2 linked regions of the Nothobranchius furzeri genome follow. The protein of the gene in region 1 purifies or fractionates together with the protein of each later gene. This does not show direct contact. Links are inferred from orthologs where the notes say so. Each region holds a gene or a part of one and is shown in the gene's direction. Other genes may lie near its edges.

Region 1 (4,605 bases):
TGTATTTGATAGAATATTTAAAGGTACAAGACGTTTTGCTCTTTGAAACGATTTACCTAAAGTCGGGGTCCTCAACTCTCTTCCCATGAGGGTCTGTATCCAGCATGCTTTAATGTTTCTCTGCTTCAACACACCTGATTTCAATCAGCAGGTGAATAACAGGCTTCTGCAGAGCTTGATGAGCTGCTGAGCAGGTGATTCAAGTACATTGGATTAGGGAAACAACTAAAACATTCTGTATACCGGCCCTTGGGGAAGGGAGTCTGGGATCACTGACCTAAAGCATGCCATTCCCTTTGAATGTATTAAATATAGTTTCTCTGTTTTAAAGCAAATTATATTTAACTTTTTTCATGTGTTTAGTGTTCAACACATTTTCCTCCCACCCTTTCTGCTTAAGACCACATTTTTATGACAAAGATCAAGTTCTCTCTTAATAAAGTAGTAAAATTGATTACTTGTCACTTTAGTGGTTGACTGTTGCCTCAGAATCAACAAGTGTAGCTTTAATAAGCTACAATTCAGATTCAGATTAGTCATTCAATCTGTGCAGATGCATTGCAGAACAAAATTACAATAAAATAAAAACAGGCTAGAATATAGACATGGGAAAAAATGGAACTGTGGCAAATGTATAGAAGATTGCACTTTTTAAGAAGAGGTACATGGTGGTCGTATAAAAAAGTAACATAGACTAATGCATGTATACATTTGTATTTAAGATTTCTGCTAACAACCAGTGAGTTTTTATGAGGGGCTGTCAAGGCCATTTATTCTGTTGCACATTCTCACACAGATGCATTCTTGACACACACAAACTGAATGCCATATACCTGTGTGTGTGTGTGTGTGTGTGTGTGCGTGTGCGTGTGAGTGTGCGTGCGTGCTCTGTCTTCTCGATCCCCAGTGAGTCGTGGTGGATGGCTGCTTATACTGAGCCAGGATCCTCTGGAGGTTTCTTCCTGTTAAAAGGGAGTTTTCCTCTCCACAGTCGCTAAATGCTTGCTTAGTATGAGGATTGCTGTAAAGATACTGACACCAGTCAGTGACTTGATGCAATTAGCTGGGTTCCTTATATAGGGAACTTTACTGATTGGCTTAATGAACTGACCTTTATTGGATTGTTTACTTTGTGTGGTACCTTGAGACGACTCTTGTGATTTGGCGCTATATAAATAAACTGAACTGAATTGAATTTTTTATACTGCCCCGCCAAAAAACAGTCACCTGAATATACTGAATGACCAGGTTATTCCATCTTCCCTGATGGCATGGGTATATTCCAAGATGACAGTGCCAAGATTCTTCAAGACGTCAGTTTCACACATGGATTAGCCATAAAGTTATTGGAATACAGCAACATTGGTTAGGGTTGGAGTATGGGTTAACCGTAGCAGTAACAAAAATGAATGGAAGTCAATGAAGGGTCCTCACAAGTATAGATATACCAATGTGTGTGTGATTGATTAAATGATTGAAACGTTTATTTGAACGTAAGACAATAAATTTCAAATCAATGAACATAGTAAAAAAATGAAAAGATATACCAATTTTTTTAAAAGTCTTAGCCCAAAGGGAGTATTCAATCCCACCCCCTTGCCACACACTACAAATCTACTTTAAATAAGCCATGTACATTTTTAATCTACATCTCAGGATTACATACATCTACAGTAATATAACTTCCAATAAGAACATGTTGTATGAGTATTTCTGTAATAACAGCAGAGATGATAGACAATTATACCAATGACAATATTATAGTTTCCAGAAAATAATAGGTCGACTCAATGGCTCAGAATTTCATGTATGTTGAATATCATATAATGTGTGAGTATGTGTGTGTGTGTGTGTGCGCGCGCGCGCGCGTGTGTGTGTGAGAGAGAGAGGAATGTATGGATAAGAACGTGTGTGTATGTGAGGAAAATTGATTTATGGCCGAGGGACCCTCCGTTTTGAGCATTGAACCCCCAATTTTTACATTAGTTTATCTTAAGATATCTTATTAGCGTTATGACTGGGTATACTATATACAAAAAGTATTTATCTTGCTGACGTATCTAAGGTATCGAAGATCAGTGGTTAAAACCATGAATCTGCTTTTAAACCGCGAGGAAGCCAACCAATCAATTTGCAGCTTAAAACTCTGCTGGTTCGCTCTCATCCAATAGAATCGCATCGTGTTACAGGATGTACTGTTGCCATGGTGACTGCATTCTGCTGCAAGGCGTGTGTACAGTAGGCTTAATTTTAGCTTTCAACAGAATTCGAACTTTAGACCAGTTTCTGGTCTGTGTGATATCAATACTTGGACCTTGTTAAAGATGGCGAAGAGGACAGACAGCTGACCGGCGGATTAATCGTGTTAGCCAACGTTAGCACGTCGAGCTAATCTTCTTGCTGAAAATAATCCCATTCTCAAATGGCACCATTGTTCCAGAATTCCGCTTGATTTTCTTTTATCTGTATCGAGTTGTAAAAGGGCATAGTATCATTCTGAGGCCAGAACGCTCACCTGGAGTATTTTTCTTGTACTAAATAAATCCTTAAAGAAAGAAGATGGAGCTCCAACTCAACAGAGTTGATTATACTCAGGTAGGAAGCAGGAGCTGCTGAGGTCTGCGATACCTTTTTAGAAGGTGGTGTTTTCATTAGATGCATTTACTATCGAAGTTGGTTTGGTTATGATCTCTTAATTTTTAATGATCGGTGTTTAATCCTGCTCTGTGATTAGGTTGGTGTAACATCACAGAAAACCATGAGGTTACTTCCAGCGGTGGGGAAAAAAGCAACTCAGAAGGTACTGTTTACAATTCAGGACATTCGGAATAGTGTGAGGGTGGTGTTTAAGCAACGGGTATTAAACATATTCTAAACTCAGATCTTCTATTTATTGTCTATGTGTGAAATGTTGTTAAAATCCATGTGTAAATAGGTTTAATATGTGGGTGTTTATTGTGTTTCAGGTTGCTATAGCCGATCACGATGGTGTACTTACATGTTTTGGCATGAAGAAGGGGGAGGCTGTGGTGAGTTTAGAAGTCATTGCATAGCTGGTGTTAAAGTCAAAAGAAAGATTTCTGCTATAGTAACATCTGACTCTGTGTTTCAGTCTGTGTTTAAAACGCTTCCGGGCCCCAAAATAGCCAGGATGGACCTTGGAGGTGCCATAGGAACCCCCCAGGAAAAGATCTTTGTCTGCTCTGGTTCTCAGGTTCGAGGATTCACCAAGAAAGGCAAACAATTCCTCACCTTTGAGGCCAACCTCACTGAGAACATTAATGCCATGTAGGAATAATTTCTTATCAGTTTGTTTGATTGCATTGTTTTGCACCGTGTGACCTCCACTGAGTGATGCTGTAATGTTGTTTTCAGGCATGTCTCAGGAGCTGATCTGTTTGTATGTGCAAGTTACATCTACAACCACTACTGTGACTGCAAGGATCAAGACTACTTTCTCTCTGGAGACAAAATAAATGATATCATATGTTTGTCCTCAGAAAAACTCTTGCGTCTCACCCCAGTCTTGGCATGCCAGGATCGAATTCTCAGAGTTTTGCAGGTAAATTGAAATCACATTTTTTGTTTGAACTTTGTTCAACTGTTCATCTTCAAACACCCAGATATGACAGTGATCTATTTAAAACTGGTCATAGGGATCTGAGCTTGCTTATGACATTGAAATTCCTGGCCCGCCATCTGTACTGGAACTCTACAACAAAGATGGAGGCAAGTCGGTTTGTGCACTCTAAAGATAAACTTTAAACTGTTTAGTTTTGAAGAAATTAAATATACATATTTTTCTTCCCCTTTAGGTGATGAAATCCTTTATGGAACCACAGATGGGAAAATTGGACTGGTTCAAATTGGTGACCACTCAGCTGGGATCAAATGGGAGATTGACAATAACAAAAGGAAAGGAGGTGCAGCTTTTTTATGGTTGTATATTTTAGCCACTAACCCATCCATCCATTTTCTGTTTATGTTTATGTTTATGACATATTTCCAGTGCAATAAATAAACAAACATTTTCGGCTGCTTATCTGGGGTCAGGTCGCGGGAGCAGTAGCCTAAGCAAGGAGGCCCAAACTTTCCTCTCCCCAGCCACTTGAGCCTGCTCCTCCGTGGGAATCCTAAGGCGTTCCCTGGCCAGCCGAGATACATTATCCCTCTAGCGGGTCTTCTTTCAGGTCTTCTCCCAGTTGGACGTGCCCGGAAAACCTCACCAGGGAGGTGTCCAGGAAGCATCCTAAATAGATGTCCGAGTCATCTCAACTGGCTCCTCTCAACGTGGAGGAGCAGTGGGTCTACTCTGAGCCCCTCCCGGATGACAGAGCTTCTCATCCTCTTTAAGGGAGACCCCAGACACCCTGCGGAGAAAAATAATTTCGGCCGCTTGTATCCGCAATCTTGTTCTTTCGGTCACTACCCAAAGCTCGTGACCATAGGTGAGGGTAGGAACGTAGATTGACCGTTAAATCAAAAGCTTTGCCTTCCAGCTCAGCTATCTTTTCATCACGTTAGATCAGTACAACTGCAGACGCAGCACAAATCCGTCTGTCAGTCTCGTGCTCCATCGTTCCCTCACTCGTGATCAAGACCCAA
Region 2 (3,821 bases), on another chromosome or scaffold:
AAATTACCAGGGCTGGACCCAGATGTGCACGTACCATACAAGTAGCCTCAAATTCCTCTGTTCAATCAAAACTGATCTGTTTCTCCAAACTGAGGCTGTTTGAAGCAGAAAGTATATTAGGAGATTATTTGTTTACAACGTTTCAAAACCCCACCAGACAAGATCTAAACTGTCCCTTAAAAACTGTCATTCTGGACCACCGCTGATTAGCTCCATAAATATTCTAAACCAATCAGTTATTTAGTTTCAGGAACTGAAACTGGTACAAGGAAAGTGTCTGTTTTTTATGGCCATGAGCCAAATCATTAAGTAGGACTGCTTTGAAACACTCATTCTGAGACGGTTTGGTATTTTTAAGTTGTTCCAGCTTGATGTGTCTGATGATGTTCAGTCTCTGAAGCACCCTCCAGCAAACATTCGGTTTAGCTCGAAGCTCCACCCTTGCCTCGTTTTTACCCAAGGTCCTTTTAAATTTTGTCTCATTTCCACTTTACTGAATATTTAAACATGAGGCCATGGTGTAAATAAGTAAACCACATCAGTGTCTGTAACAGAGCTCATTATGGCTGCCTCCTATTGGGGCAAATGAATTAATCAAACGCCCCAATACCTGCGTCGCTTTAATGAGACTTACTGCTGAGTCTTATTTCAGTGTCAGTCTGCCTCCTCTTTGCTGTTTTCCTTTAGGGCTCACAGGCCATCATTAATACTCTGTAATCATTCTGAAAACAAGCCTGTTGGAATAATCTGACTGTCAGCCATAGTGGCTGGCTTCAGTTATTGAAAAAGTGACCCTTTTCATTTAGCTTCTCTCTGTCTCTGTTCAGGTATTCTCCAGAGAACACTGAACTTCTGACCACACTTGGCCTTCTTTATTTACAGGTTGGTATATTTGTTTGTAGCCTTAATGTATGTATGTATGTATGCTCATGTAAAATAATACTATTAATAAAAATGGTTATTTTTTTTAGCTTGGTAAATACCAAAAAGCCTTTGAGCACCTCGGGAATGCCCTCACTTTTGACCCAAACAATTACAAGGTATGACATTACACTTCAGCATAAACTTAGTTTTCTACTCAACACCTGAAGGTTTGAAGGCTGTTCAGTCAAAGCAGAAGGTCCTTCACCATCAGATGTTAGTCTTCTTGACTTTCATCATGTGCTGTTTCAAAGGTTACATCTTCCTCTAATCACTGTTTTTATTCCCAGGCCATCCTGGCTGCAGGCTGCATGATGCAAACCCACGGTGACTTTGATGTGGCCATGAACAAGTACCGAGTGGCAGCTTGTGCTGTGCCTGAGAGCCCCCCGCTCTGGAACAACATTGGCATGTGCTTCTTTGGAAAGAAGAAATATGTAGCTGTGAGTAATTCTGTTTTTGTGTTTTTCAAGGTTGAAGAAACAGAAACTGATGACATGCATCATACAGATTAGGGCCCCTCAGTATGATGTGCTTAGTGTAGAATGTAGCGTTACGAAATTGGTTTAAAAAATACCCATATGAGGTAGATTTAAATCAAGCTAGTTAAAAAATTACCCTACTTCACCAAGAAGATACCATACCATCCCATATTTCTTTGTAAAGCACTTTTTTTCTTTCGATTTATTCAGTCAGAAATACAACAAAACATAATATAATCATAAAACATTACATTTAAAGTGACTGAAAAGGCTCAGGCAGAAGCAAAACGCTTATATTTATGCCTGTCCTTTTTATTATATTATAATAATGTCCTTGTTAATATAATAATAGTAAATAATTTAAACACAGACTGTCAAACTGAAATACCCTCCTCAATTCTGTACCTGGTATAAATATTGTTTTTGTATTTTTTTTTAAACCGAATCAAAGTAACACATTTCCTTAGTGTCCCCTCCATCCTTTTCCACAGTCTTGCTTCACATACCGAAATACAAAAGGTTTTACTTGTTGTACGTGCAAAAGGAATTCTGAAATGAGATAGTTCCCGTAATTTATAACCCCCTTCCTTCTCAATGAATCATTTTTGGATGTTTTCTAGTAATAGTTTGTTTCTTGCAAGAAATAATATTTGTGCTGTCTGCAATTCTACAATGTCTCTAAATTTTAAGAGTGTTGATTCTTTTAACATTTAACCACAGCATGTCAGCTGACTAAAGATCCTGACAAGGAAAGGGCAGCAGAACAGGCAAAATACTACATTTAAAAGCCCCTCATGGACAATGAGTAAAAAAAATGTTGATAAAATTAAAATACTAAAACCAGAGCATTAAAGAGACAATGTGTAGTTTTTACTGCTAATCTCTGGAAAAAATCCAAATGTTGTTAAATGATGATAAATTAAATGATGCCTAGTTGTTGAAAAATATTGGTGGCTTCGTAACATAACCATAAAAATCAGGTCTAAAATACGTGGCAGCGGGTCTAAGTCTCTGGGTGACACCATATTAGATGCCACGTTTCCTTCTACGGGAGCCCGTGAGATCAAAATGCATTTACTGACTTGTAACAGTGACAGAACTTTTACCATTCATAGATGTTGTTGTTGTTTTACACATTTAGGGTTTTATCCTCTAAAAACATAAGTTAAATAAATAAATACATTTACCTCTTCGCTTGTTGTCAGTGATGAAAGGGAGTATGCTGTACTTGTCGTTTTGCTGGAGGTTGAATGATCTGACCAAGAACTTGTTCAAAAATAGTGCTCTTGGGGAATTTTGACCCTAATGGTCATCCGTTGGTAAGGTCTTACTCAAACATAAAAATACTGTTTGCTTGAAATGATTTAGGTATGTACTGCCCCCTATCGCCAGGATAAATACACACCATCACTTTAAGAAAAGCGGCATGTCGTACGTAGTGTGGATACATAACATAAAAATAAAAACTAAACAATTAAAATTGGGGTAAGGCATAAAAAAGAGTATAAAAGAAACAGTCCATAAAAATAAAAGGAAGCAAAGGAGACACCCAATAGAAGAAGAAGATCTTTTCTATAGCGCCTCTCAAGATAAAAATCACGAGGCACTTCACAAAAACAAAAAATGTAAAATATAAAAAATAATTTAGAAAATGAATTAAAATATATTTAAAATGAGCAAAAAATAGACAGTTGTGATTTAAAATGTAAAGAAAGAGAGAGAGTGAATAGGAAAGAGAAATCAGTGGATCCTGAGGAAGGTGGAATAGGATGGGGGACAGCACAAGGAGAGGATGATGAAGGTCACACCAAAACCAGCCTGAACAGGTGAGTTTTCAGCTGCTTTCAAAAGGAGACCACTGAATTCACTGATCTCAGGTTGGGGGGGGGGGGGGGGGGGGGGGGGGGGGGGTTGTCCATGTAAGGCCCTGTAGACCAGAACCAGGGTCTTGAAATGAACCCTGAAGTTGACTGGCAGCCAGTGAAGCTGGAGGAGAAGCGGGGTGATGTGGGTGTGTTTGGAGGTTTTGGTCAGAAGCCGAGCACAGGCATTCTGAACCACCTGTAGACAGTTCAGGGAGGTTTTGCTCAGACACGTGAAAAGAGAGTTACAGTAGTGTAAGCGTGAGGAGATGAAGGTGTGGATAATGGACAGAATGGGACTTAGCTTAGCAACGTTCCTGAGATGGAAGAAGGAAGAGCGAACAAGAGAACTGACATAAGAATCCAGGGTGAGAGCTGGGTCAAAGGTCACGCCAAGATTCCTGACAGAGGGTTTGGTGTGAGTAGCAAGCTGACCAAGAAAGTCTCTGACTTTGGGAACCAGCTTGTCTGGGGCACAGATGAGGATCTCAGTCTTATCTTCATTCAGCTGAAGAAAGCTCCCAGCCATCCAGGTTTTATAGAGTCTAAGCAGGTG

The links.
Region 2: the proteins of bbs7 (region 1) and bbs4 purify together in Homo sapiens (co-immunoprecipitation; 7 studies listed by BioGRID and IntAct, counting the BioPlex papers as one, with this or other methods). This does not show direct contact. The link is inferred for Nothobranchius furzeri from reciprocal best matches to the Homo sapiens genes BBS7 and BBS4.

What each region holds. Positions count from the first base shown.
Region 1 is NC_091741.1:74,284,107-74,288,711, forward strand, and holds the start of bbs7 (Bardet-Biedl syndrome 7 protein), read left to right. Parts: upstream 1-1,714; 5' UTR 1,715-2,559; coding exon 2,560-2,595; exon of another isoform or gene 2,596-2,639; intron 2,640-2,734; coding exon 2,735-2,800; intron 2,801-2,966; coding exon 2,967-3,029; intron 3,030-3,112; coding exon 3,113-3,288; intron 3,289-3,375; coding exon 3,376-3,562; intron 3,563-3,656; coding exon 3,657-3,729; intron 3,730-3,815; coding exon 3,816-3,923; intron 3,924-4,605.
Region 2 is NC_091749.1:45,779,381-45,783,201, forward strand, and holds part of bbs4 (Bardet-Biedl syndrome 4 protein), read left to right. Parts: intron 1-827; coding exon 828-882; intron 883-971; coding exon 972-1,040; intron 1,041-1,211; coding exon 1,212-1,364; intron 1,365-3,821.